Linked DNA regions of Daphnia pulex. The protein of the gene in region 4 purifies or fractionates together with the protein of the main gene of each other region. This does not show direct contact. Links are inferred from orthologs where the notes say so. Each region holds a gene or a part of one and is shown on either strand. Other genes may lie near its edges.

What was found.
Region 1: the proteins of breast cancer anti-estrogen resistance protein 1-like (region 4) and paxillin-like purify together in Homo sapiens (affinity purification with western blotting; 3 studies listed by BioGRID, with this or other methods). This does not show direct contact. The link is inferred for Daphnia pulex from reciprocal best matches to the Homo sapiens genes BCAR1 and PXN.
Region 2: the proteins of breast cancer anti-estrogen resistance protein 1-like (region 4) and growth factor receptor-bound protein 2 purify together in Homo sapiens (affinity purification with western blotting; 3 studies listed by BioGRID, with this or other methods). This does not show direct contact. The link is inferred for Daphnia pulex from reciprocal best matches to the Homo sapiens genes BCAR1 and GRB2.
Region 3: the proteins of breast cancer anti-estrogen resistance protein 1-like (region 4) and 14-3-3 protein epsilon purify together in Homo sapiens (affinity purification with mass spectrometry; 3 studies listed by BioGRID and IntAct, with this or other methods). This does not show direct contact. The link is inferred for Daphnia pulex from reciprocal best matches to the Homo sapiens genes BCAR1 and YWHAE.

The regions. Positions count from the first base shown.
Region 1 is NC_060022.1:1,455,556-1,463,065, forward strand, and holds the end of paxillin-like, read left to right. Parts: coding exon 1-49; intron 50-1,494; coding exon 1,495-1,635; intron 1,636-1,764; coding exon 1,765-1,842; intron 1,843-1,935; coding exon 1,936-2,109; intron 2,110-2,526; coding exon 2,527-2,757; intron 2,758-2,899; coding exon of another isoform or gene 2,900-3,013; exon of another isoform or gene 3,014-3,525; intron 3,526-4,801; coding exon 4,802-4,922; intron 4,923-5,122; coding exon 5,123-5,268; 3' UTR 5,269-6,173; downstream 6,174-7,510. UniProt on the Homo sapiens protein: Cytoskeletal protein involved in actin-membrane attachment at sites of cell adhesion to the extracellular matrix (focal adhesion). Recruits other proteins such as TRIM15 to focal adhesion.
Region 2 is NC_060028.1:9,113,636-9,119,247, forward strand, and holds growth factor receptor-bound protein 2, read right to left. Parts: upstream 4,390-5,612; 5' UTR 3,994-4,389; coding exon 3,916-3,993; intron 3,829-3,915; coding exon 3,731-3,828; intron 3,660-3,730; coding exon 3,540-3,659; intron 2,355-3,539; coding exon 2,189-2,354; intron 2,112-2,188; coding exon 1,938-2,111; 3' UTR 1,299-1,937; downstream 1-1,298. Other genes in the region: 39S ribosomal protein L46, mitochondrial-like, read left to right, coding at 129-216, 284-485, 547-683, 743-1,164; protein brambleberry-like, read left to right, coding at 4,781-5,089, 5,163-5,291, 5,354-5,539, 5,598-5,612. UniProt on the Homo sapiens protein: Non-enzymatic adapter protein that plays a pivotal role in precisely regulated signaling cascades from cell surface receptors to cellular responses, including signaling transduction and gene expression.
Region 3 is NC_060024.1:10,586,734-10,594,984, reverse strand, and holds 14-3-3 protein epsilon, read right to left. Parts: upstream 4,973-8,251; 5' UTR 4,806-4,972; coding exon 4,742-4,805; intron 3,082-4,741; coding exon 2,882-3,081; intron 2,821-2,881; coding exon 2,714-2,820; intron 2,388-2,713; coding exon 2,250-2,387; intron 2,196-2,249; coding exon 1,981-2,195; intron 1,888-1,980; coding exon 1,826-1,887; 3' UTR 1,438-1,825; downstream 1-1,437. Other genes in the region: INO80 complex subunit B-like, read left to right, coding at 43-143, 218-423, 479-614; piwi-like protein Siwi, read right to left, coding at 6,044-6,160, 6,227-6,556, 6,637-6,751, 6,817-6,992, 7,063-7,185, 7,257-7,422, 7,490-7,631, 7,693-7,837 and 2 more. UniProt on the Homo sapiens protein: Adapter protein implicated in the regulation of a large spectrum of both general and specialized signaling pathways. Binds to a large number of partners, usually by recognition of a phosphoserine or phosphothreonine motif.
Region 4 is NC_060021.1:6,677,719-6,685,922, forward strand, and holds the start of breast cancer anti-estrogen resistance protein 1-like, read left to right. Parts: upstream 1-3,655; 5' UTR 3,656-4,014; coding exon 4,015-4,122; intron 4,123-8,204. Other genes in the region: mucosa-associated lymphoid tissue lymphoma translocation protein 1-like, read right to left, coding at 1-189, 260-443, 512-663, 727-872, 960-962. UniProt on the Homo sapiens protein: Docking protein which plays a central coordinating role for tyrosine kinase-based signaling related to cell adhesion. Implicated in induction of cell migration and cell branching. Involved in the BCAR3-mediated inhibition of TGFB signaling.

The DNA.
Region 1 (7,510 bases), on a different chromosome or scaffold from region 4:
TGCTACCGAGGAACTCGATGTTCTCATGGCATCCCTCTCCACTTTCAAGGTAGGATTCTCTTTCCATGCAAATTCAAATTTGGCGCTCTCCAGTCGCTGCCGTCGATGTTTATCGTAGCGGACGCCATCTAGCGCTCAAACTCTACACTTGATAGCGCGACAGAAATTCAGAGCGGCAACTCGACAACAACAAATTGCGCGTTGTTTATTTTTCGAAAGGAAATTGAAAAGGAAACAAAAAATGAAGTTTTGTTGGGATTAGAGCGCACGCGAGATGTGCACGCCAATGTGCGTTACTGTTTTTGGGGCGCTTGTTTATTTTCAAGTGTGTTAGTAGTAGCGGTAATAAGGTTCCTTTCGAGTCGGACTGCTTCACGTCCGTCGATTTCCCGTCTTGTGATGGATTTAGTGTCTCGCAACAGCCGGCCCAAAGCGGAGCCCGACCGTAGCTGCCGGCCGTGTTGTTGCGCGTCTGGGTTTTCTGGACTTTCCAGCTCTTCCTCTCGCCGTTCTATATACTCTGCTGGATTCTTAAAGTGTACTAAACGTACTCGACTTGCCAGACCAAACCAAACCAAAAGAACCTTTGCCCAGCGCCTTGATGATAAACCGAGACGGGCAGAAAACTCTAAAGAAAGAAAAAGTGACGATGAAAGAAATACAAAATGCTTTTTAGTGCTGGATGCTGGATGCTGTTTGCAACAAGGCACAAACACGATGTGTTCAACTGCGCATATGTATACGTGAGAGAGACGGCTCTAGCGCATTCTTACGACCTTCGCCTTATACACACGCGTATATATTCCGTCTTGGGGCTACCATTTAAAAATAGAATTTTTTAGAACCCCTTTTTTCTCGATTTTTTTCTCCCGTTTCCACTTTCCCAGTGGACGTGAATTTTTGACGGTTGTTGATCCGAGTCCCGAAAAATCGAAGGTCACGGGACTCGTATCGTCTACTGGGACGGACCACCAGTGGGTTACCAAGTAAGAGTCGAGTAGGTGTCGAGTCAAATTTATCGGTTTCGTATCAACAGTCGGTGTTTATATTTGCGCGAACGAAAAAAACACTTTTGCCAATGTCGAATTGGACGCACACAGACGGACGGATAGACCAGATCCTCTCACCGGGCCATGGACTCGAAATGGACTCGTCGTCTATCGACTCTGGGTGAATCATCGTCGACTCGTCGCTGTCCCTCACGGGAGCAAAGGTGCGGGACTGGCGATGTGATGATGGGCAAGACGTGTATGATTCCGCCCAGTTTCCCCGATGGCGTTAAGCTGGCTAACGTGCGGGGCAGGGCAAAATGTTTTGTTTATTGACGATAAGGATTTTTCTTGTTTCTTTTTTCACTTTTTTTTTTTTTTTTGGAATAATAAATCGGGAGCCAAAACATTTGGGGGAACGTTTTTCTTTCCCCCCTTTGAAGGCTGGAAAGAAAGAAAGAAAATAAAAATGTTGATGATTTACACATTTTGCGCGCGTGTATAGAAGGGCGGAGCGGCCGGTTCTCCGGAGCCAATCGAGACGGCGTCGTTTTCAAAGATCGGCGACGCCACCTACGCCAAACCTAACAAAGTCCATCGAGCCAACCCCAAGGATCAGTTGGATTCGATGCTCGGCAACCTACAGGTGACTCTCTTTCCAGCTCTCCCATTTCTCTCTACTACTGACTTTCTGATTTTACATTTTCTTCATTCGTTCCTTATCGGTTCTTGTAATTAAAATTCCGTTTTTGCATTTCACGATTGATTCAAACAGGCTGACATGAACAAACAAGGTATCTCCGCCACCACCAAAGGATGTTGCACCGCCTGCGAGAAGCCCATCGTCGGGCAGGTCCGACTTTTTTTCATTTCCCCCTCAATTCAATTGACCCGACCATTGAATTAATTGAATTTGTATTGTTTTGTTTTGTTGTGGGGTTTTCAGGTGGTGACGGCTCTTGGTAGGACGTGGCATCCGGAGCACTTTGTCTGCTCCCACTGCCGCCAGGAGTTGGGAACGCAAAACTTTTTCGAACGCGACGGCCAGCCTTACTGTGAACCCGATTATCACCACCTCTTCTCGCCCCGTTGCGCTTATTGCAACGGACCCATTCTAGATGTACGTTGTTGCCTTTTTCCTGGTTGTTTCAACACCCACCGCGGGCCCAATTGATTTGGCAAATTCCGACCCTATTTCACACACGCGTTGGGTCCAGTTGGTCCTGGACGGGAGAGCTCTTCTCTCTCTCTCTCTCACTATCCAGAATGTATAAATAGAACTTTTAAGTGGCCCCGAACGAACTGAGCGAAGCCATCACAAGAGTCACGCACGTTGGCTGACTGATGAAACGGATGAATGGATGGACGACGGTGTCAGACAGCTGGTCTGGTTCACCTCATCACCCGAAAACTTGTTCTTGTTGGCAGCCTCTTTTTGTTGTTGTTTCTTTTTCCTAACATGTTCCTACTAACTTTCTTTTTTTCGGACGTTGTGTTTCTTTTATCGCCCCCGCGTCGCCAATTGGTTCCATTACAGAAATGCGTGACGGCGTTGGATCAGACGTGGCACCCGGATCACTTTTTCTGCACCCAATGCGGCTGCCAGTTTGGCGAGGATGGATTCCAGGAGAAGGATGGCAAGCCATACTGCAAGGAGGACTACCTGGCCATGTTCGCCCTCAAGTGCAAAGGCTGTTCCACGGCCATCACCGAGGGCTACATCTCGGCTCTCAACGGCCAGTGGCATCCCAATTGTTTCGTCTGCAGGGTAAGTTTTTCCTTATTGACGTCAGATATGTTGTCCCCTGGAAGGTAGGTTATTCTTCTAGACAATCCTATTAGTAACGTGTGTCCGTTTCGCTGTTGTTGTTGTTGTTGTTGACATTCTTATATATCTCTTGACCGAGAAGGATTGTCGCGTTTCGCTCAACGGCGGATCTTTTTACACGGTCGACTCGCGCCCAGTTTGCGGCAAGTGTATGGGCGTCGGTTCCGATGCCGAAGACGACGACGACAGCCAATGAAGTGACCCCCGTGACCCCAAAACAAAAAAACAAAACAAAAACAAACCAAAATGTGTTTGAAAATTTTCAAGGAAGAAGAAAAACACAAACCCAAAAAAACACACGGCGCTTCTTATCTCACTTCTCCTTTCGCACACTTTTCTCTCTCTCTCTCTCGCTCCTCTTGAAGTAGTTTTGGCCACTCCCACCAGAAAAAACAGTCCCGAGTTTTTATTTTACAAAATAAGAAACCTGACAAACCAAAAAAATGATGATGATGTTCTAGTCCTGAAAAATAACAACACACCCACCGCGCGACATGCCCAAGTGCCTCCTCTTATTTAAAACAAATTTATTATTGGCTCATTTTTTGGCTGTTTCTTCTGACTTTTTTTCTTCTTTCTATCCCCCTTTCGCTCTCTATTCTCTCTCTCCATTTTGTGTGTTGTGTCTTGTTATGTATGTTGGCGATGATGAATCTTTTTCGCACAAAATGACAATGAAAGAAAACAAGTTAAACCAAAAACCAAAAATACCTGAAAAAAGAGTTCCACTCGAACGAGCAAATCATACTACTACTCTACTGCTGCTACTTTTTCCAGTTTGGTACATATAGTCAGAGAATAAAACAAAAAAGAAACAAAAGATTAACGACTCTTCGGTGGCGGGGAGGCTCATGCACTATTGGATGGATGGTATAGTTGGACTGGTTTGGCGGGGTAGTAGTAGCAGTACAGTTCGTTTAGTTCAGTCACATTTCTTTTCTATATACAACACACACACCCGTTGGGTGGGTTTATTTTAACGATGCGGATGAGTTCACATCGTTACGCAAAATGAGCGCTGCAAAGTAAAAGGCAAGTTCGTCATTCTCGTGAACTCCCCATGGTTCGGTTCACGCAATGGGTTTCTTCTTCTTTTTGTGTGTGTAGAGCCGGGTTGAATAAATCAGTCAAGTCGTGGGAGGGCGGAGACAAGCTCCGAGCCGGGATGAAGTTGCTTACCTTTGAGCTTCTTCTTCTTTCAAAATTAGAATTCGTTATTTTTGTATTTTGGCTTCTTTTTTGCGCGCTAGTCTTGTCCATTTGATTGTTGTCATCGCTTTTTAAAGCTTTTGGACCCGGGGGTTTGAATAAAGCGCTTTGCACAGCTGTGCCCTCCTCCCTCGGTCGATCTTTACCAGCAGAAAAAAAATTTTTTGAAGCCAGCTTTCGAGGAACTGTAAACGACCGGATGACGCATGGCGTGTCATAAGAGATTTCTCCGGTGCCGCTCTAGCGAAGTAGAAGAAGAGGGATACTATCTATAGGCTGGCGAAAGCGTATAAATAAAGACATCCTTTCTCTCGACTCTCCTTTTTTCTATTCTCAGAACATAAAAGACACGTACGAAAAAAAAAAGTTATATTTTTTTTTCGGGTTTTTGAAAATTCGCCGCAGAATGGCGCGGACTTTTCTTCTTTTTATTTTCGCCTATTTTTGGGCTCTTTGGAGAGGCTTTACTAACTACGACCAGTAGTTGGCTGTCAAACAATCACTTAGTCTCGGGCTCTTGACCCTCTTTTCTGCTAGCTCCTCCTTCGCCATTTCCCTTGTAGTCGTTATTAACATTTTATTTTTAAAAGCGACTCAATGAAAGGCATTTCTTTTCCAACAACAAACGGCGTACGGGTGACGTTAAGGGTGTCTAATTAAAAACAACAATTACCCCCCCCCCCTCACTTAGTAATTAAGCAAATATGGATCTTTTGCTAATGCGATTATTAAATTGTTATTTTTTTTTTTTTTTCCCCACCATTCCAACTTGCAGGATTGCAACATGCTGTTCCAGGGCGGATCGTTCTTCGTTCACGAGGGTATGCCCTACTGTGAGATCCATTACCACGCCAAGAGAGGTTCGCTCTGCGCCGGATGCCATAAGCCGATTACCGGTAACGATTTTCTTCTTCTTCTTTATTTTCTCTTTAATAGACATCCCCCTCCCCCCCCCATAACACTTGCGTGAAAAAACAACAACCGTTTAACCTCATTTTCTCTATTCACCCATTATACTGTAACTGCTGTATACGATGTGAATGAATTTGTTTGTTATTGTTCTTTTGTTATCACGCGAAAAACAAAACAAAATCAGGTCGGTGCATCACGGCCATGTTCAAGAAGTTTCACCCGGAACACTTTGTCTGCTCCTATTGCCTGAAACAGTTGAAGAAGGGCACGTTCAAAGAGCAAGGAGACAAGCCGTACTGCCACGGATGTTTCGAGCGCCTATTCGGATGAAAAACCAAAACAATTCCGGAAGGGAATGAAACAACAACAACAAACAATAATGATTTTGAAAAATGATTCATTTCTTCTTTTTTTTAATGATTGGGTGGGGAAGTACAACTGACGACGGACTCCACGTTTACAATGTAATAACACATGTGAAAAGATAACCCCCCCCCCCCACTCAATCCACATCGAATTCTATTTTTCAATGTAATCCCCGCCCGCCCACGCCCCCCATGAAGGAAACCAGCGCATAAAAAAAGGAAAAGAAAATGACACGCAGACACATTTTCTATATACTTACACTACTACATTACAGTATAAATCTTTATTCGATTTCTACCATAAATATTCTTAGGGCGACATCCCATGAAACCAATTTTTTTCCTGGTTAATCGGTTAACCATTTTTTGGGGGGGTTTTCCAGCCAACGTCTTTTGCCTCTATCGGCTCATCTTTCAAAGTGGTTTCTCTAGTTTGTTTAGTTGTCATTGGATAAACCAAGTGGTGAGGAAAACAAAAAAGGAAATGAAGTTTTAAACCTCCCTCCCGCTCCTAACGCTTGATTCACCGCCGAGACGCACAAAAAACTACGCAAAACTAATGATGTTTTTTTTTTAAATAGTAAAACTTATACAATAAAAAAAGTCAAATAGAAAATCGAAGTGGAAAACGAAAATGGTATGGCATCAGCTATTGCTGATGATGGCGCACACACGCATCAATAAATTTGATAGGATCGAATATTGGTTCAACTTTTTTCTATTTCCCTCCTCCGTCTCTTTCAATTTAATTATTTGTATTAATTAAGAATCTTTTGGGTTCGCTATCGTGTTCGTCCGTCGTCATTAAAACAACAACCAATTTTCTGTGTACTTGTTTGTTTGTGTGTGTATAAAAAAATTTTAATTCAATTTCAATTTCCGTTCATGTGATTTCCGATTATGAAAAATATTAATGAAAACATCCATAGAAATATCACTACGAATTTTGGAATTTCATAAATCCACCGAAAGACGGATCCCAACTCCCAAGTTCCAAACGCTACGGCTTCAATTATTTCGCAGTTGTAGTAGCTGCAGTAGAGGTGTAGAAACATTAACCGCAAGGTTTTGTTTACTTTTACTTTGACATTAACGGATAGCCAGCGGTTGAGCGGATCGGTGTAGCCATATCGGCGATATCGTGTAGTGTTGCCAGTTTGTGCAATTAAAATATTCGAAACGCGCATTATTTTTTCGGCATTGGCAACACCACACAATATGGCTACCGTCTACCGATCCGCAGTACGGCAGTCGGCAGTAGGCTACCGCTCAACCGCTGGTTTATCCGTTTATGTCGTAAAGTAAACGTAAACTCGTAAACAAAACCTTGCGGTTAATGTTTTGGCAATGGGAGCTTGGGATGAAGAAGTTGTGCTGTGTTTCTTTCAGTAAAGCAAGATTTGCATAGAAAGGTGATGAAATAGTTCATGAATAATTTTACGACAAGAAGCTGCCATACTACGACACACTTTGACATGAGTATCTGAAATTCCAGTGAACCAGTCAGTTCACCAGCAAAAAAACAGCTTCTTTTCCTGGCAAAAAGTCAGAAAACAATGAAAGAAGAAACATCAACAATTTATTGTTTCAGGAGACTACAACAGGTATGGTTTAAGTCAATACAACCACAGACTACAACTAACCACAAATGTTATTGAAATAGATCTGTCCTGTGCATCACACAAGGTAATCAAGAGTTTGCAGTCAGCAGCATACTCAGTAGCCTACTCTTTTTTCTAAAGACGAAATGAAATCCTTGAAGATGTCTTGGAGCTGTTGTCACTTTGTCCAACAGCGTCCTGGAAGAACTGCTACTTTGCATCACCACAATTTAAAACATTCCAGCCACAGAGTTCCAGCACAGCATATCCTTTACAGATATGAGCTAACTACAACATTTGATATAAATTCACAGGTACAGGTTGTAGATAATGTAGAAGAACTGGAAAAGGAATAGAAATTGGTTGCTCTAGTACTGCTACTCATTCACCTTAGGGGCCATATTAGGGATTAATTATTCGGCAATTTTTCCGCAATTAGCCAATTAGGTAATCATTTGCCAAAGGAATATGTTGGATATCACTAAGTGGCTAAAATTATGTCTGCTAGATGGCGCGAGTGTCTTCGTTACTCAAGAGTCCAGACGAAATTCCGCCATTTCCTAAGACACTGATTGGAAACCGCATGTTGAAATGTTGAAAACGTAT
Region 2 (5,612 bases), on a different chromosome or scaffold from region 4:
AAGACTCTCGGAATCGAATCGAGGATTTTCCGATTTTGTTGACAATTCTTACTGTGCCCGTGCCGGCCTTGTGGCCAGAATTTAATATAGACTAATCAATAGTTATTCAAATAAGATACAAGAGAAAAATGTTTTGCTTTCGATCTCATGCTTTAGGTAGCCTATCACTAGTTAAGAATGGTTTTTCAATTAACAAAGTCTATCAAAATCCAAAAGGTAAAAAGCTTAAAATCATTCATTTTTTAACGCTTTTTGATGGATAAAATAAATTTTATGTTCGTAGTTTTCTTGAGAATGTCGAGTGCTTCTACATCCAGTTCTTCACCCCAAAAATGGGAACTTCTTGGTGCAATTTGTCTGGAAAGAACACCAATCATTGTGCCTCCCATGACCGAAATTGAACAACAAATTAGTGAAATGATTGAGAAGTTTGATAATATGAGAAGCCTCAAATCAAATCATGAACTAAGACATGAAGAAGACAAGTAATAATTTCAAATACCATCAAAGATTTTAATTTTAATATGAATAATTTCTTAATTGTAGGAAGCTACAAAAAATGGCTGCAGATGGAACTCAAGATGAAAGTAACCCAGATGCAGCAACAAGGCAAACAGCTCAAGACTTTGAAGATGCTTGCAATGAAGAATTTCAAAAATTTAAGCCTGCCCCAAGGACTACAGGTAATAATATAAATAATAAAGTTGACTAACAAGTAATTCATTGACCTACTGTAAACTAGCTGAAGATTTGAGTGGAGACCAGAAGTCCACCAATCGAAAGCTGGATAAGCATTTGCTTTTTGTTGTGCAAGAAAAAGACAAGAAAGTTTGGAAGCTTCCGGAAAGTAGGTGGAGGGAAGGGGAGACCTTACGTGAGACCGCAGAACGTGCACTTAGAGAATACGTGAAAACTCCTGATACGTCAGTGCGAGTATTGGGCAATGCTCCGTGGGGAGTACATACTATCAAATATCCGTCGTCAGTTCGCCAAAAGCTTGGTTTTACCGGTTCAAAAGTTTTCTTCTTCAAAGCCCAATTGCTTTCTTCTTGCACTACTTGTTCAGACATAGAGTATAATTGGTTGGGCAGAGAAGAGCTTACAAACAGTCTCGAGCCCGAATACTTACGTAGCGTAAGAAAATTTCTCATCGATGAAGATTAATTCATTAAACATAGTATTTGTTTAGATGCATCTTTAAATACACAAATTTTTTTCCTCTTACACATTCTACTATTACGAAACAATGAACGCAACAGGTAAGAGTTTTAAATCTGACGGAGAAGAAGACTAAAACATTGGTTTGCACATTATATTTTCATCAATCAAGATACTGTTCGATGTACAAGTATAGCATGGTCTCAAGCTAGTTCATAAGAGTGAGAGTTATGAAGAGGTTATCGATATAGGTAGAAAATCGAAATTCACTTTAAAATGTCGACAAAAAAGGGAAAAGAGCCAATAAGATAAGAAGAAGCAACAGAAATGACGGGCAAACTTAATAGCCCAGTAATTGTTGTCGACGTTATGGATAAGTTAACTTATCTTTCCGCAATCAAAACCACACAAATTGCTCCAACATGACTATTCGACCAAAGCCACATCTAATGGCAATCCCGAAAGCTGTGTGCTTGAGGGGAAATACAGTCGAAAATCGAGGTTAGAACAACATAAACGGAAAAAAACTGAAAAGAAAGCAATTTTACAAACTGCTTTCAATGAGAAATGAGATGCAATCCTGTCAATCCTAGCTGTTCATCACTTTTACTGTTTTGTTATCAAAGTTAGTAATGTGTTTAGGTTCGAAGTCGGCAAAAATAACTTGAGTCTTAAGAACGGACGCACCACTTTAATACAAAAAGAAAAAAAAAATGAAGAAAAATTTATGAAGAAAAGAAAAGGAGCAAAAGAAAACGAACGAACAGTGCCTTCGCCTTTTAAGTATGATACGGGGCAACGTAAGTGGCAGGAAAGAGGCCGCGGCGGGCGCCAATTTCTCCAGTCCACCAATGTTGATCAGAACGGTCTGTCACAGTTATGACGTCGCCTCGCTTAAATTCCAATTCACCTGGTTCTTGCGGGGTGAAATCGTATAGTGCCTGCACCAAGAACTGTCGAAAATTCACACAACAATTGTTAGTCAATCCTGAGCCTAAAGGCATGGAAAAAAGAACAACTGGTAACTCACCTCTTCAGGCACCATGTCTCGTAACTTTATATCCTGAGACCGAGAAACAGATGTGGAGCGATGGTAGTCGACCAGTTCGTTGAGCGAGTTGAATTTTACCACCCACAAAAAGAACTTCCCTTGGGCATCGCGAAGTACTTTGAAGTGCTGGACACCATCGCCACATCTGCGAGACAAGAAAGAAAAAATAGAGAATAGCCTATTAACACAGAATGCACGTAACAAAGTATTGTGTAAATTTCAAACTAATTTCGAACTACAAGGAAGTAGGATGATGGCTTCCTTAGCTATAAACAAAACACACTCATCCTACAACTTAACGGGCAAAAACCTCAAGAAGGAATAAATAACACAGCAGGGCGATGAGAGAATTGTAAAAACTAAAAATGATGCAAAACTCCGGTTCAAGGCACATATATAGTTGCTTGATTACGGACGGTGGCTCAGTGGTAAGGGAACTTGACGAAAAGGCCTAACAGATAGAAAACAGAATGTACCCTAGACACGCCTAACAAGGCTAATAAAATACCAAAAAGGATAAAACTAATTACTGAAAACAGTAGGACTGACGGTTCATGAATCACGAGTCACGACTTAAGCAAAGGGTAGTCACTGCACGAGTTCCAATTTTACAAGCTGTCTTTGTTTTTTTAAGGTAAAACAAAATAGACAATTGAGATTCATTCCACCTTTGAAGTGAATAAAATTGGAATGTAAACGGATGTGTGCGTCATCAGGTTGACTCATGCACTGCATTTGGAAAGAATTCTTGCGTGATCAAATCAAATTTCTACAGAAAACCAAATACCCATGATTCTTTGAGGGAAATAGAAATAAACTGTACGTTCGGTTCATTAATTTTCTATTCAAACGCGTCTTCCTAGTAAGGTAGAACTTGTATCGTACAGTTTGGAGAGCGAGATTATAAGATATTTGATTTTACACTGATGAAAGCCTGCATGTTTGAAATTCTTTTCACGCTTCAAATGTACGTGTAGCGTCTAATCAGGATATCTGAATGCAAAGCGATATTTCTCAATATGTTTTTATAATGTGCTATTTCTACATAAATATTTTGAGAAATCTTCCCGTTTTAGGCAGTTAACGACTTACAAGCTTAGTTAATAGATGTCAACTTATCTCATTCAGATGTTCTAATGATAAGTAGTCTGGTATGCCACAAATAGATTTCAACAACATTTGAGAATAGGCAAATAATAACATCAAACATAGTAGAAGAATTCCTATGGGGCATTTCTAAACTATCTAGAGCTCTTGGTTAAGGATTTACACTGTCTATGTTTCTAAACAAAATCTATCACATTGTTATTTTAAGAACTAGATAACATACTTAACAGACAGGGAAAAGTCTCCCGGTGAGCTCTCACTGACTCTAACAACAAAAGCGCCTTCATGTTTGTTGCCCAAGAGTTTCTCTGCATCAGCTCTGGTTATTCTTCCATAGTACCAACTGTAGAAAATAAAACAACAAGTTATAATCAATATGCATTATTTTATCATAAACATTTCAACTAGGCTTACTCATGATTTTTCATTTCAATGTAGTTACTAGGAATCAACCCTTCTTTTCCATCCAATTCTGCTCTATACCAATTCAGATCATCTTCCATATTCAGAATCTACATTTGAATCAAATGAACAGGTTAGAATATTGCTATAAGCAAAAATTCCTTAAATTCTGTTGAAAGCATCATTGCTTGGTTTACCTTGAGAACTTGCCCTTTTCGAAAACTAAGCTCATCTTCAGCAGTGGCATTAAAGTCATGTTTAGAATTGGCCTCCATCTCGAAAATAACACGTTTTATGAAATCACAGATGATAAAGTATTTCTTGGCAAAACAAGCTTCAGAGAAGGAATTTCCTTTTCAAGGCTAGGCCGGATGTGCACCACGGCTACGTTTATCAAGTGAAACGGTTGTTGGCCAATCACCAAAATGTTTTGACTTCGTTCAAAGTCGAATTACACTTCTCGAAACTCAAAAACGAATAGCATTTCCCACAAATTGTTTGACAATATTGACTATCAACTGACGTATCCGTATCCACGATTGTTTGATTAACTATACACTGTTTTCGGGGCCCGACGAAAGCCAGACAGCCATAATTTTGGGAAACAACTTAGTTCTTGGCTTTGACGCACGAGCGTCACCAGTCCTTTTCTCCCAATGGAATTTTAAAGGTAAATGCTTGCGTGCCTGTAAACGTTTTTTATTTTTTCTAACTATTTTTTTTCCAAATGACTGAAATTATTTAAAATATTATTTCAATTACAGGAATATACATTTTTTATAATACAACATAATAGATGAATATTTTAAGATTTTAAATATTTAAATTTCCGTCGAATTCTTTTGGAAAAAGCAATGTGGCAACGTTATCTGCCTCATTTGAATAAATGCAAATGGTTTTCAAAAGGAATCTCGACCCAGAGATTCAGACCAGTCCGGACTTGAATTTAGAAAAGCAACGTGCAGTTCCTTTTGACTAATTTTATCGACCAAACCCTCTTACAATCTTATACAATTATTGTCAGATGATTTTCTCTTATATTGCACTGTGATTATTACAAAAATGAAGATAACTTTATATTTAGTGGCCATAATTCTCCTAGGAACTGGTAGTCATTCTAGTTTAGTAGGTTGGATTTTAGGCAGAGACAGCTCCCCTTTTAACATTTTGAGTAGTGAAAAACAATTTGATAAGCTTATGGCTGTAGCAAAAGAAGATGATAAGATTGAAGTTTCTGAACCTGATGAGAGTGCTGTGCAAGCAAGGTCTGATATTCCATTTGAGCTGTCTGTAGCTGATGAAAAATTCATTGCCGATGCACAGAAATATACTGACCTTAGTCTGAGCGAGCTGGATGTTTGCCAGCATAAAGTAAGTAAAGTACTTTGATGTTGATTCAAAGTACAATCTCACTGTTCATTAATATTAATGAACTCGTTTATAGTTAATCCTTCAATTGAAGCAAGACTGCAATGATCTCTCAGAGGAAGATTTGTCTAAGTTGGGTGTGAATCTTTTAAACTGCCAATCAAGATTGGAAGGGCGGAGAGTCTACCCATGCTCCTCTTCAATGGCAAGTTTTCTAATTAATGTATCACTTCAGCTAGTTGTAGCTAACCAGTTTATATTTTTTAGACTTTAAGGGAATGTACTTCTGACATGGATTCCGACACCTGGAATGCCTACCATATTCTATCCAATAGAGCAAGATCAGTGTGCTACGGTGCCCGCCAACAACAGTTTAGAGCACTGACTCAAATGACAGTCAACAAACTCATGGCCAGTTCTAGTCAACAATTGGGATTCATTAGAGAGCTCAAGGTTGGTTTCTTTATTGATTTTCATCACAACTGTATTGTATCTTTTTTTTTCCTCACAGGCTGAGCAAGAGGAA
Region 3 (8,251 bases), on a different chromosome or scaffold from region 4:
ATTTAAGATTCAGCCATGCAAGTTGACAATGGATTGTTTCAGGTTACAAGGAAACCGTGATGACGGAAGAGTTACTGAAAAAGAAAGCCATTAAATCCGAACGACGACGGGAAGTGGCTGCTCAAAAAAGAGAAAAGGAAAAGGTATTAATCACGCACGAGATATTGTTCTTTTTTCATCGCTGTAATTTGAATTGGTTTTTTCCCCGTTTACTCAGAAACGAACCATCGATCGCCTTCTCTTGAAGAAGGAAAGTAAACTGAACAAATCCTGTGCTGCGAGTATTTCGGCTTCAACTTCATCAGCCTCTGTTTCCGTCCCCAGTCACGTCTCTTCCTACACGTGGAAACAAACACAAGACGGGGAGATAACATTTAGTGTACCTATTGGAGCTGCTTTTCCATTGGCCCCACAGAGTGTCAAGTATGTAATGTTTTTCAAATGGATAAAACTTAAGTTAATTTGTCTATTATTTTAGAGAACCACCTGCTCGAGTCAACTGTGGAGTGCAAGGATGCACTAATGTCAAGCGCTACTCATGTTCCAAGACGGCAGTGCCACTCTGTAGTATCCAATGTTACCGAAAGAATATGACACTGCACAGAATATCATGATGATGCGTCTAACATAACCAAAATAAAAATGTGTTTAAATAAGAAAAAAATTATTGTTTGTGGAAACCGAGGACAAAAGAATGCGCGCGTGTATTTGACCTAGCTTTCTTTCTGCAGCGGTCATCCTCTTGATTATTTTGTTTTACAACCAGACAGATGATAGAAAAAGGAAAAGGAGATTATTTTTCTTTGCAAAAAAGGAGACTGGTTACATCACGTCGGACCAAAAAAAAAATTCTTTTCCAAAATTCAAATATTTTTTTTTTCTTCTTGGTTTTTTCCCAACTATGATGGTGAGCAAATGTTTGGACACCACAGAGAAATAAATAGGGAATGGCTCGAGCGACATGGAAAAAGTTAAAAACTTAATAGTAGGCCTAATAGTAAATAGTAAAGGGGGGAAAATGCGATACGAAGCCAAGAAATTATTCTTCCATTCGTGTTTTTTTTTACTTTTCAAAAAATCCATTGCCAATTATTTAGTTGCGGAAAGACTGAATCAAATACTTTTCCACAGTTACCTCTACTCGAATTCTTCAGCTTTCCTCTCTCTAGTAGCCCCTGGTAGAAAATTCAATCCCATTTGATACAAATTTGAGGAAATGAAGAAATCGCGGCAGTTTTACAGAAAAGTTGAAAAGACAACAGCAGCTTTTGTTTTAAAAGGTTACACGTGAAGTCTTGTGTGACGCCAGACTACATCGCAGAGAGAGAGAGAGAAAAATTCCGAAGAGAAATTGAAACTGTGAGTGTGTTGTGTATCGTCTGTGTGTGTGTGTGTGCGGGCACGCTGGATCTTCGACGAATAAAACGACGAGGAAGATCCAAGAGATAACGGAAATGATTATTGGAAATTAAAGAGAGACAGAGGGCAGGGACAACGGGAATGACAACAAAAACCACACACAGCCTTTGCTTATTAATTATTTTTTGTTTGTTTTGTTTTTGAGGAGTTATACACGTGTCCATGCAAACCGTTTCGGTAATTGTTGTAATGCAGTTTCCAGTGTTCGATGAAGAGCGCGGGATGAACAATTAGAGGGAGGGGGAGCGAATGGGAGACAGATAAGAGTAAAGGAAACATAGGTGGTGGATTTCCGGATTACTTTTTTTTTTGTTGAAAAAAAAAAATTAATAATATAATGAAAAAATTGAACAAATCATGTAGGACTTAAGAAAAAAAAACACATCAATACAAATTACATCGCCGATTAGGAGACGTCTTGGTCCTCAACGTCTGCGACTTCCGCTTTTGGTTCACCATCTCCTTGATCAATTTTTTTAAAAAAGGAAATTTTAATTATTAACACACACAAGTCCTGTTGGCGTGATTGGACAAAAATCAATTAGCTGTTGCTCTACTAACCAGCTTCTCCATCGCCCTGCATGTCGGAAGTCCAGAGGGTCAAGTTGTCCCTCAAGAGCTGCATGATGAGCGTCGAGTCCTTGTACGACTCCTCCGAAAGGGTGTCGAGCTCAGCGATGGCGTCATCGAAAGCTGCCTTGGCTAACCGGCACGCTCGGTCCGGAGAGTTGAGGATTTCGTAATAAAAGACGGAAAAGTTCAAGGCCAATCCCAATCTACAAATGATAAAGTTAAGTTGAGGATCGGCAACAAATTGTTAGTTAAGTTACCTGATGGGATGGGTGGGGGGTAATTCCGTCATGGCAATGTCGGAGGCGGCTTTGTAAGCCATCAACGAGTTCTCTGCAGCTTCCTTTCGGTCATTTCCTGTCGCAAATTCGGCCAAATACCGATGGTAATCACCCTTCCTGTATAACACAACGACAAAAGCAGAGGAAGGGAGTTGTGTAAAATCGTCAATAATCAATACCAGGCCATCCATCCACAACATGTCTGCGCGCACACAAAGTTGCGCTTGGCGCAACGTTTACGTACGATAAAATTGTGTACACGTTTGGTAGAGATAGTAACGACACTTTTTCTTTTCTCTCAAAGCGAAACACGAGTAGAATTCGAAATCACAGACGCTCGAGTCTCAAGGACTTTGAGAGAAATCCACCGGTGCATTTAATAGGAATGTCCAACTACTACTCGCAAGATTGAAAAAAAAAAGGCCAAGCAAAAATCGATTTACATTTTGTAGTAAAAGACTTTAGATTCTCCAGTGGTGGCTGATGGGATGAGATGCTTCTCGAGGACGCTCAAAATATCAGAGCAAATGTCCTTCAGCTCTTTCTCGACCTATAGACAAAACAGATAAAGGCACAAATCAATGAATAAAATTTGAATACATTATCCATACCTGATTGCGGTAATTGCGGATGAGTTCAAGTTTATCTTCGGCTCCCTTGTTCTCCTCTTTCTGTTCAATGGACGAGATGATGCGCCAAGATGCACGACGAGCGCCGATCACATTTTTGTAAGCCACGCTCAGCAGATTCCGCTCCTCGACAGTCAACTCGACGTCCATCGACGCCACCTTTTTCATGGACTCGACCATTTCTGCATCAACAAACAGATTATCATATAGTCTTAGCCAAAGAAACTTGTCAGAGGATCCCTTTCTCTTTTGGACAGAAAAAGATAGATACACTTTCAGACATAAAGGCTTTGCCTTCTTTCCCCCCCATCTCCCTGTCTACCCCACCCCCCACACTCGAGCGACTTTTCAAGTAGCGGATCAATAACGGCCACGGGAGGAAACACGCTACCGCCTAGTTCCGCCCGCTCTCCACACATCCAGCACGTCGCAGTCGTCATATAACCCCCAACATCAGCATCCCCACGGCGGAAGGAAGGAAAAGTACAGGGGCAAACCGAGTTGACGTTACGCACACACACACAAAACTATGTGTGTCCTCTTTTTTTCTAAGGGAGGAATTGAAAAATAAAAGTTTCTCCAGCTGGGCGTACATGTTTGAATTCAGGGAAATAATAATAACCAGACGATCGAGTTGTATGCACGGACAGGCTCTCCACTTGGATTCACATCGCAGTGGCGTAATGACAGGTTCTAGGGCGACACACCCACACCGCATTTTCTCTTCTTTCCAACTTCCCTCCATCATTGAAACGTGAAGGGGGGGGGGGGGAATAAAGTTAAAAATATAAAAACTAATTTTTTTTTTCTACAACGACAAAAGGCACGAGACGCGTCACGTGCGACAACTATTTTTTCGAAAATATGTGGAAATAGAAAAACGCCCCATTCATACCAGTTGGAATATTTTCCTAAAGGAAAAAGACGAAAAATAAAAATGGTGGCTAATTTTCCATCGGGTTTCTCCGCCCACTGTCAGAGCTTGACCGATTCTTGGTTTTTGTAAGCCGCAGACAGAAGAGTCGAGAGAAAAATATAGAAGAGAAAATTAACCATCACAGGCGGCCATTGTTGTGTGAACGGTTTCCTTTTTGATGTCCTCGAGAGAGAGAGAGAGAGAGAAGCTTTTTTAGACGGCACGTTTTCATCAACGTAGCCAGGACCCCCAACGCATCACGCACATAAGGGTGGGGTACTCTACCGAGCGTCGTTTTGAAGAGATCCGTCGCCTTGGTGATGCGCAATGGTGAGAGGCCCAAGTTGAATAGAAACGACTACGTATTTTTCACGAAAAAGAGAATAAAAAAGTTATTGGAAAGCAAGTATACAAAGAGACAGTCCAAAGTCTCTGCTCTCTCTCTCTCTCTCTCATGACTCATTGATCCAAGTCATCTCGTTACGTAGCGGTAGGTTTCGAGGAAAACCACCCAGAGATACACACACACACCGGACACACACCCAGAATTACTTTTTTTTTATTTCGTACTGCGACAAAAACCCTCAAAAGAGATTCTAGAAAACATGGCTGAGATTATACTATACTTGATAAAATGGAATTGTCAGGAAAAATGAACCTCAAGTACGAGTGTCATATTGATCGAAAGTATTCAAGCCAACACTAAGAGGGGGGACGCCGCTGAATTTCCCCATTACACAACCGAATGTACAAGAAAAAAGACAAAAAGTCAAAACGTCATAAGTCTGTCAAACGCCCAAGCCTTTTTTCAAAGCCGCCTACCGTCTCGTTCGGTTTTACCCACAGAGATGCACAGTCATAGAGACACAGAGGAAATGAAACTTCATTCTTTTTTTCGATTTTACATTTAAATGACATTTACGTACCATCGTATCTTTCGGCTTGTTCGGCGAGTTTTGCCTTGTAAACGTTATCCTCTCTGTCTGCCATGGCTGCTGGAATAAACTATAAGCAGATGTCACTGGATAAAGAAACAAAAGCGAGACCGTTGGAATCGGAACCTGCCTCGAATTGTCTCGACTAAGACCAAAGAGTGTAGCTAGCAACTGAGACTCCACCGTACGCTTGCTAGAATGCTTTGCCCTGTAGCTAAAGCGGAAAATGCCAGCGAGAGTCGATGGGATGGGAAGAGGCCAGATTGCCAGATCTCGTTTCTTATTACCTATGCATCTAGCAGCGTACAGTGCTGACATCTATACAAGGCCAAACACCTTTGGGGGCTGTCTAATCTTTTAGGTATTTAATTAATTCTTATGAAATAAAACTTTTATTCAAATTTTCTATTATCCGAGTAATGACATGTTCATTCTAATCATTTGATTCTATGCATACTTTTTGTGAATTCATTATTGGATGTCTAGCAACCATCTATTTTGTTACGTAAATATTATTTTATCGTGTTTTTAAAAAGCTTCAAGTTATGAAATCAAGTCATTTTATAGTATTGAAATAATTTTTATAAACGATTTAGTTCGCTGTGGGACGATTGAGATCCCTTGGTTACAAAAGAGACAGCCGCATGGTGTCTCTAGTGGACAATTAGCAATTCAATGACTTGCGAGTTCTTTTGGCTTTTGCGGACCTGAAAGTTGACTATCGAGGAAGCCCAGACGATCCTGCCCAGACGTACCCTTGTTGGCCTTGCAGGCCTGCATTCTTCTCGATACAGCTGTCAGCTTGACCACGCCTGCCAAGCAGCGATGCCACATTCTTTTGTTTTCCTCAGTGCTTTCGAAACACCTAATGTGCTATGTGCATTGCACACGTAGAGCTTTTCCGTCAATGCCATCTCAACGCGAATTCCATTGCAACTCATGTTTATTTCATCATATAAAAACTCACCACACGAAAGTCAATAAATCTACTTCATTTAAAAACAAAGGTTTATTACTCATTCCTTGATTACATACAACATGGCACAAAGGGGCGTTCATTATCACACTTCTGACATGGCCCATGAAGGTGAAACAGAAAAAAAAATTGCATGAAAAACACTTCCATTGTCGATATCCGCCATTGCAAACAAACTCAAGAAAAATATTTTTGGCGTCATTCGAAAATCGTGCGAGTGAGGCATGTCTCGTCGTCTTTTAGTTTTTTTCTTATGAGTGAACAAATTAATACGTTAAAAATGACAAAACTTAGGGAGAAAATAAATGAAAGGTAATTCAAAGGTAATAAGGAAGTCGATTCAGTCCTTCATGCGGTTGCGTCATCATTGATTCACCAACAAGGTACGCCAACTTGTGCGCATACTGGATGGGCGCTGGAATACGCAGGGTACCCTTAAATGAACAAATTGGTTAAATTCAATTCTGAATAAAATAGACAATAAAAATAAAAAAACTTACAGGCCAATTGTAGTAAAGATGGGTAAGAGCATAAGCCAGTCGCTGGTGAATATCAGGGGCGATTCCAGTGTCATCTTCAATAACATTGTAGCTGGTGGGAGAAACGGTACCTTGCGTAACTTTTTGAGACACCAGGAAGAAGTCGAATCTCTCATTGAGCGTCACTTTATTGTCGACAACCGTGCCGCAAGGAGGGTTGCTCGCTCCACGTTGTCCCATGGCGAAAAATCGCGTGTTGATCCGCTTGCTTACGACAATGAACGCAATGGGTGGATTATACACACCAGTCCCGAGGTAATTTGTTCGAGCACCAGCATCGGAACAAGCCTCCTACTCAAGCCAAAAAATGATAATTGTATAGAAAAACGAGCCTCAAAATCTTCCCACAGACCGTCACTCATCATTATTACCCTCAGTGCCGCCACTTCCGTATCCTTCAGTCGCGCAATGTCTCCAGCACCGACACCGTCACGGTAGACAATGATTTTTTCCGGCAATGTTTTTTCGTTCATGATGTAATAAGATCTAATTGTGCGAATGAAAAAGAGATATTATTTTGCACGGAACAAAGAAAGCATAATAAAACATACTTGAGTGCGCCAAAGAGATGATCTTTGAAGCTGGGTGAAATTTCTTCATTGTTTTCATGAATTTTCACAGAAGAATAGTAACGCGAGAAGGTCGGGTTGATGGATGCAACAAATGCACCGACAGCTTTTCTTTGACGTGCATCGTGGTACGTATCATAGCCGATAACCATCCATTTCTACATTCAATAATAGCCAAAAGATAAATTAAGAATTCAAGAAGCAAACGTCTCGATCGAGAAAAGTTACCGTCTGGGGGACTGCAACTCTCCAAGGTTCCGCACCCAACTTCGAAGCAACTTGAATCATAACTTTGGTGGCGATTGACATGAGCTTACCGGGCTGTCCCTTGATATTTCTTCCCGTTATCACCTGTGCAAGAAGATCAAATCTAGTTAAACAATCATGAAGATGCCAACTACGATTCCCTTTCAAACGGATACCTGAGATGGAATGCCGAATTCTGAGATCGTCATCTTCTTGATTGAAGCATACGTATCTGCTCGTGCAGCACGCAACACGCAAAAAATAAGGCTGAATTGCTTTCGACCACATTCCGCTCGAATAGCCTCGACGTAGTTTGACGTACGGTCCATTTGCATATTAATACTATTATTGAAAATCGTAATTTAAGAATGAATTGAATATTAAATATATTAGAAAAATGGTCGCATACTATTCAGGTTGCGGGATGTTAAAACCCTGTTGAGCTCCAACTTGCTTCATCATATTAACGAAGGGTGTGATTTCTTGCATCATTGCTGACGGCGTAAATACAACCCAATCCTGTAATTCCACAGACACACACATCCTGGATCCTAAATCGATTAATAATTGATTAGTACTCGGATTCGTCATTTAATGTAAAGTATAACTTACGCTGAATATTACGACTCCAGTCTCCTTCTTGTGTTGGAAAACTGTTACCACCCTGTTGAATCGTTTGAGCAGGAATAATACGCGCATTGCAAGAGACAATATTTTTTGCAAAGTCGAGACCCCAACTGTTAAGCTCTTCTTGAATCTGTTAGAACATATCATTAATAGATTGTAATAAGTCATATTTAACCACACTCACCTTTGGATTATCGGCCAGTCGTTTGCGGAACTTCATGAGGGCATCAACACGTTTATCTGGCATAACTCGCGTAATATTACCGACATCCTTCATCAAATTGAAATTCTTCCTAAAAATTGAGAAATGATTAAGTAAAATTATTATCAATACTGAATGCTCGAGTTAATGTATACTTTTGATCATCGCTGAGACCCGTCATGCCGCACAGTTCTGGAATGAGGTACACTGGTTGGTCGTCGCCTCGATTTTTATCTCGTCGTGAAGGGAGTGAAACTAACATTGGCTGGGAAGCATTCCTCACCGAGAGGCTATAACGCGTCTGGTAATATTCCATGTACGAAATATCACGGTCTTCTTTGC
Region 4 (8,204 bases):
TTCCCTTCGATCATGCAACTCAATTCGATAACATTTCCTGGGTCTGTACAAAGATCCTGAGGTTCTGTCACCACAAAAGGCGCACAATTTTCCAAAGTCATTTTTGAAGATCCAGTGGATATTGTTTGAAAACTGCCATCTCTGCACTGCTGAGTAATTTCACATTTGTAGAATCCAGCATCCGAATTTCTGCAATTAATTTTTTTGTCAAAAAGATTAAACAAATTTGAATGGGTCCAATGCAAACAAAAGGAAAAACCTGAAAGTAGGGATTACTAGAGGGTTAAATGTTGCACTCTCTGATGCTAATGGGGCATCATTTAAGAACCACTGAAATGTAGGTTTGGGGAATCCATCAGAAGAAACTTCAAAACCAAGTTCAACTGTTGTGTTCATTTTCACACGAGTTTCTTCTGGTAAATGGTTTACTATCACAACTGGAACTGAATAGAGAAATTCATAGAGCCACTTTCTTTTTTATTTTATTAGCATGTCAGATAAAAAAAAGTACCTCTATCTTTGAGCAGGTAAAGTGGTTCATACATTTCACATTTTTCTAGAAAAAATGCAAGAATGCCAATTTTGCAGTTAAATCTGGAGAGCTTAGAAAACAACTGGGTACTCGTACAGTTTCCTTGCTGTGTAACCAAACTTCCTGGATTTCTAAAAAAGGTAATAGAAATTTGATTTGGGATTCACAGTAGTAAAACAAGCTTTATTACATACACTGTTTTCATCACCATGTCCAGCAGTTCACAAGAGCGCCCCTCTCGATCTAACCACGAAGAAATCTGCTGATGAATTCCTGGGCTCAATCTTTCAAGAGGCTGTGAAGGATCTGGTATAGGTGACAAAGGGAATCTCAGCATTCTCTAAATTTTGTGATGACTATAGATTTATAAAACAAACACTAAATTATTCTATTATTGTGCGATCCAGCTGATTTTTTTTGTATATACCATAGACTACGAAGTCTATGTATATACCTTGATGTCACCTGTTATCTAGTCGTTTCCGGCACACGCCGTTTGAGCAATTGCTGTTCTCAACAGGATTAATAATCGTTCATATAAGAAACTGCAGCAGTCATGGCTCAAATTCTACGTTTTCTAAAGCAGTAATTGTTGTGATGGAACTCTTATTTTTCGTAAATCGTTTACATTTTACAGTTACAGCACAAATACAGCAGACGACATAAGACCTGCTTGATCAAAGGTGTGACATCTAGCGAACAAAAATGAACACGAATTCGAATGTAATAATGTTAAAGGAAAATTGTGCAGGCATCTCCCTATCGGAAACAAAAAAATTAACTAATGAATCGTTTTTCTGCCTATCTGCTGCAATGCAATTTTGTGATGTGAAATGAACAACAAGCATCTAGTTGTGACGCGCAGTGGATATTTATTTTACTTATGGTTTAATGTGTAACTAAATAGCTTACGAACAGTACTTGGGCATGTATTTAGTCATTCTTGATGAATTATCTGGTTAGAATAAGAGAAGGGTTTTTATCTATCATTAATTGGTGGGTACGGCTGATTAACTTCCAGTCTAGCATTGCTATAGAAAGGTCTCGTCGCCTTAAAATAGTGCTTCTGGATCTGGAAGTTAAGACGAAGGTTTAAGTGAAGTGGAACTTTACGCTTACAGCCGTTACCGCATATCGTTTACTGGACATATGTCTAGAATATGAACCATAGTACCTCCTTCACAACCAATGATAAAAATCTTGTACTAATATCATTTGATGTAGAATAAATTCTTGCCCAAATGCCAAGTATCTTAGCTAACATTAGTGCTCTATATTACGTGCGTATTGTTCATTATTAAAAATTAAAATCCCATTTTGATATTTATGAATTATATGAGATAACCGAAGGGATCTAGGGCGAAGCATTTGGGTCAGAGAAAAAGTGGCGACGAATGAAATGTCGCCTGCTCAATATCACGGCAGGTTCTCTCGATGTTTTTTGTGTTTGTGTGTGTGTGATGTCTGGTGAGAGGTGACATCTAGCGAACAAAATTGAAAAAAGAATTCGAATTTGATGATGTTAAGAGGGGAAATGTGCAAGCATCGGACGTGTTGGTTTTCAAAACAGGATGTTAGGTCAGCCGTAAATCAGTCAAAGGGTTAAGAGGACAAATAAATTGTACATGGAAAACTCTGCAGCGAATGCATTTCGTCAAGAGATTACACAGCGATCTTGAATGTCCACGACAGCTGCTGCTCTCATCCCTAGGTTATTTATTTCATAAATTTGTTTTCACTGAAAACAAAAAAGGATGAAAATGATGATATTTACCAAACAAGGGCCGCTGGCGTCAGTTGGTCGCTCTCAATTTTTAGAGCAAAAGGAAAGACAAAAATTGGCAGCTAAAAAACTGCCGGTCGTATAATCGCTGAGGCATGGCAGATTACCAAAGACGAGTGGCACACACACACACACGAAAGCTTTCACGATATAGACTATAGCAGTACCACCACGTTTCGGGATAGAAATAGCCAGGTCAACTCAACATTTCCTGGAATCCAACTCAAACTTTTTCGGGACTGATTGATTTAGAGGTCTCGGCTATTATTCGCGACGAAATGTTTCATAACGCCAAAAATTTCTTTCGAGGCAGCATTCATTTAAATAATGAAGCTAGCAAGCACGTCTGTCAGAGCTCTATCTCTAGCTTCAAAAAAACATTCCCGAGTTTCCCCAATCTGACGGTTGTCCAATCGTTTGGAATTCATGAAGAATAAAAATGTTTTTTCCAAGTTTCTGGTTGGTCCGTTCAAACGTACACGAATGTTCGTTGCCAGTCACCACATGGCGATGAGAGGTCGTAAGCGGTTTTGGCGCCGCATTCGAAAGTGCCTTGAATGTTTTTTCTTCTTTCCTTTTTGTTGAAGCGCAGCTGGCAATTCATCATCTGCGAGTCTCTTCTCCGGGACTCACGTCGCGACGGTCTCTGGTGGTGGACACGCCGTCTGTGAAACTCGCGTGCCCTGTTTTTATAGTGTTGCCCCGAAAAAGTTTGTTGATTCAGCCGAAATTGGAAGTCACCGACAAACGACATTCTTGTGTGTCACACAACACAACAGCCATCCACCAAGTCGTTTGCAAAAGGACGCAGCAGCACCGTGAGCTGAGCTGGGGAGGACGACCGCAGGACGTGAAAAGAAACTGTAATACTCTCCGACCTTGTGAGTTGTGCAGACCTTTTCCTACGTACACATTAAACATATAAGCAGCTATATACACGACACAATAGCCACTGGTGGTGCTGGTGCTGTGCTTCTGGGATAAATCGTCTCAAACCTGACGAAATTCCATGATATACACGCGACCATAGCAGACACACGGCCATTTTCCTTTTGTCTTCTTCCTGTTGTATCTCTCTTGAACGCAACCAAACAAGAAAAACAATCGCAGTCGGTTGCCAATAAAGGAAAGCACCTTAATTAGCAGCTACAACAACAACCTTGCGTCGCGCAGCTCTAAACCATCTTTTTTTGTTTTTCTTTCTCATTCTTTCGCCATCCTGGAGGTCTTAACAAGGACCGCACTGCGCCGTCCATACTTAATGTTTCGATAGAAAAACCGAAAAACTTTTGTTTTGTTCTTCCGCGGCTTTTTTTTAAAATCTCTGATTCGCAGCGCAGTCCCGATTAAGAAAAAAAGTTTCAATCCGGCAGCAGCCAGCCAGTCTCACAGTGTTCCGCTTCGTTTCTTTTTGGAACCGAATGGAAGAAAAACGGCAGAGTGAAAGAGCGAGAGAGAAGAGAGAGAGAGAGGCGATTTGTTCAAAACTCGGCTCTCCTGCCAATAGCTGCTTCACTCTTCAGCCCACCCGGTAGTGATAACAACACCACTCGTTTCTCTGTGTGAATTGAGTGATAAACAATTTTAAAGTTTTAAATTTAAAAAAGAAAAAAAAAAGGAGAAAACAGCGCATAGTTTTGGGCCGGCCGGACTGGAACACATTTGAACCACTTCACACAGAGTGTAGAAAGCAAAACGAATGGCTACGATGGACGGAAGTAGTGCTGCTGTCCAGACTACCATCGCCAGAGGCAACCAAACTAGCGTCTTCAACAATCAGCAGCAACCGGCTTGTTGGAATGGACTGGTAGCTAAAAATTCTATTCTTACGTATTATATTTTTTGAATGTGTTAAATCAGTTGGAAGAAGATCAGAGATTTTTATATAGGTATTGTAGATATTCAAATATGAGGCATTCCTCACTGTCTTTGGACAGGTTCCCCTTTTTCTCTTTCTACCGTCCGTAACGCCCATTCGTTGAATAATTCGGGAAAAAAGATCCCGCATAAAAAAATGGGCGCTTTGCGCGCGGGACTATATAGAAACAAAAAGTAAAGTGAGAAGCTCCGCGCGGTCCCAAGGTCTATCGTATCATCTAACTTAACCTTTCTTTCTTTTTTATTTGATTTGCTGTTGTACTATAGTGGTGGTGTTGTTTTGTGTTGTTGTGAATATGATTCACGAGCCAGTTTGAATTACTTTGGGACCGTGGAAATCTAAACAGCAACGCCATCGATTATGCACGGAGCTGTGAGATTCTAATCTTTTTAAATCAACAAGCGTTTCATAATATTGCGTATAGCCCTTACACATACATGTTTGTGATGGGTGTGTGCAGTGCACTGCACAGGGAACTCGACACTCGGCGTCCGAGAGAGAGTTTCACATCATATAGAATGCGTTCGGGAGAAATACGCACAGGCACGCAAGTTTAGTCTCGATACACACAATGCGTTATGATTATGGCTGACATTGCCGTGGACTGGCCGGTCCCTCCTCTCAACGCGTTCTTACGTAATAATAAGGGTCTCCCAGTTCGGCAGCATTGAAAGGGGTTAAACAAAAGGAAGGAATAAGATGAGACGAAGGAGAGATTTTCTTTTGAAAAAGATGTGGCGATAAGCTTTCAGGTATTATGATGGAACGCGCGTGCGGGAGAAAAAAGAAGAAAAATCCAGACGGCGCCTCTCGCTCTCGCTAACTCATCTCGTGGTAATTTTGTAGAGAGAAAAAAATAGTTTTCGATAGGCAATAAAGTAAAGATGATAAGGACATGGGGCCAACTGTTCAATTTCTACTTCAGAACTTTTTGAACTGCTGGAATCCCTCCATTACACGAGGCGGTGCTTAGTCGAAAGAAATTTAAACGGCCGGATGAGTGATTTGCGATATGAGCGGCTATTTTCCATCGTACATCAATTTGATGATTCCCCCCCCCCTCAAAATATATAAAAACGAATGAAGAGCATCGCGTTAGATTTCCTTTCAGATATACATTTTGAAAACGACGTTTTACACCTTGAAAAGGGCTTTGGCAGGTGGAGCGCAGGAACATTAAGGTGAATCTTTACTGGGCAGCCGTTCATCAGTCAAGAAGTTAACGATTCCTAGAATAACCTGGACGACCTCCTGTTTTGTTTCTCTAGTTCCTAAATCACGCGATATAAACAGTCCCGAATGTCTCTCTGCGCATATCTAATATAGTCAAAAGTGATTACATACCAAAGGAGATTAGAACTACAATAGCTGCCCCGATCATTTTCAAGGCGAAAGTTTGTGTCACGAAAAGAGAGAAAAGAAAAAACACATTCCGCGACGTGAATAAGCGGCACGTTCGAAGCTTATTTCTGCCAACCGGCGCAAAGCTGAAAAAGTGCATTACATGTGTTATCGCCATTTGGACGCTGTAATAAGATATAAGAGGATGTGAAATTCAAATTCTTATCAAATTTTGAAAAGTTTATGGGGAATTTAAATTTCGACAAAAACAAAAATATTAATTGGATCGTTTTCTTGCCTCTATCCTGCAAATCAATTTTAAGATGACAAATGAACAGTAACTATACAGATGTGACCCGTAAAAACAATTAATTGGACCTATGTTCAAACGTATATCTTAATTGATTACGAACAGTGATAGAGCACATGTTTCATCATCCATGGTTATAAATCTAGTTAGTATTAAATCGGTTTCACAATTTTTTTTTGATTAGGCGCGGTTGGTTAATTAAAATACGATGCCTTCAACAATATGTTGATGAGCAAGTCAGGATTTTAACTAGCCGTCGGATCAATTGATACTGGATTTCCATCCAGAATATAAAAACAAGTACATCCTTACCACCGCTGGTAAAACTCTATGAGGAAACCACTAATTGTAGAATATATTCCTGCCGAATCGCAAAATTTCTTATATACATTCAGTGTTCTCAATTGCGATCATACAGTTCATTATTAAAAAATTGAAAAATACTTATGGAGTGAGTCGTTAAGTCTGTTATAAGATAAGATTGTTGTTATAAGAAAATATGATGTGGAAGTAAATGGGACTGCGTAGTGCGTAGTTTTTGGACGAGAAATTAGAATTTTGACAAAATAAAACAAAAAAAGAACAAAACAAAAGTTCCCTTGCCTCTTTCTAATGCAATCTGATTTGATGTCAAATGAACAATAAGTAATCAGATGTGACGCGTAATAAAATGTTATTGGAGCTATGGTTTAAAGTTTATCTAACTTGATTACAACCAGTGTTTGGATACACATTTAATCATCCTTGCTGTAAGATTTAGTTAGCATAAGTTTTGAATTTATTTCGTTGAAAGAATAGACATGGCTGAGTAATGAAAACCAAACCTATTGATGAAAAAAACGTTTGCCCAAAATATGCTGACTTTTTCATGGAAATGGGTGTAAATTCATCAGCCGTCTCTTCATGTCTATTCATACTGGAAATTCATCCAGAATATAAACATACATACATCCTCGCAACCACTGGTAAAACACTATGGAAAAAAACACTCGATTTGTAAAATTTACCGGCCAATTCGCAAAATTTTTTAAAGTTTCTGTGTTCTTAATTACGTGTATGTTGTTCATTATTAAAAAATAGAAAAACTCGTATAGGAATGAGTCAATAAGTCGGCTACTGCAGTTTTGCTGAAGACGGGGAATATCTACCTTATAAGTTACACCGAAAAAATCCCTGGAGCGATTACGATCGTCATCCGTGTCACACATTATTGCAATATACCCCCAAGTCGAGAAATCAAATAGGATTGAGCTGAAAAAGGAGATGATTGAGAGCGCGGGTCGTTCAGCCGAGTCTCTCGTGACAGGGCGACATACGCGGACGTAGAGAAAAAGCGACAAACCGGACTTGCATCGATCAACCCGCGAGAAATAAGAAAACACGAATAAACCTCGGTGATGAATGCGAAAAGGGACAAGGTGACGGCCCTCCCGCACGCTCTCACAGCAGCAGACGACTCGAATGTGTATAAGGAAACAACAACAACAACCTGGAGGAGAGAAGCGTAATCGAGCGGCGGTTCTTTTTGAGTCAGTCACACGGGGCGACATCGACCATGTTAGAGTGTGTAGTATACCTGCACCCGGAACTGATGCGCGCATATCCCCCCTCCACAAACCTTCCAGTTCCTTTATAAGGTGTGAGGCTCTCTCTCTATCCTCGTACGAATAAATTGTAATCCACGTCAGCCGACGATGGTCGCCAAACTGGCCGGCGCTGGCCGGTGTAAGAAAAAAGAAAAGAAAGTCTGGTGACAAGTGCGCACACTTTTCGACTCTGTGACAAGGACTCTCTATTATAGCATATTATATAGTATAGTATAGAAGTGGAGTTTTTTAAAAAGTAATGCGGACGGCAACATTGATCACGGAGCCACTGAGGAGCCGGACGGCGGCGTGCTATGACGCATTCCTCTATGTGGAAGGATATAATATTTTCTACAGAAATATTTTTCAACCTTCTGCTGTCGAGGCTATATGTCGTTATTTTCTCTGTGAAACAAAAAGGGGCAAGACTCTCCGTTTTCACGCTACCTCGGGACATTCAGCAGTCAGGTGCTTTAATCAAAGTAGACGGCCATATGTGTGAGAATGGTGAGCGATGTCCGAGAGTTGCCCATGGTGGACTCCATCGATTACGACTGGTTACACGCACGCACAAAACCAACCAAGGGAAAAATCGAAGAAATTGACAAGCTACGAAACGGAAAAAAATAGAAAAAATCAAAGGCCAAACAGACAAAATCAATTGACTACCAAACGGGAACACCTGGTTTTGATAAGAAAATATTCACCTCGGTCTAGACACGTTTGACTGGATTCTCTACACGCAACAACAACAACAACATAGAAATCAAAAC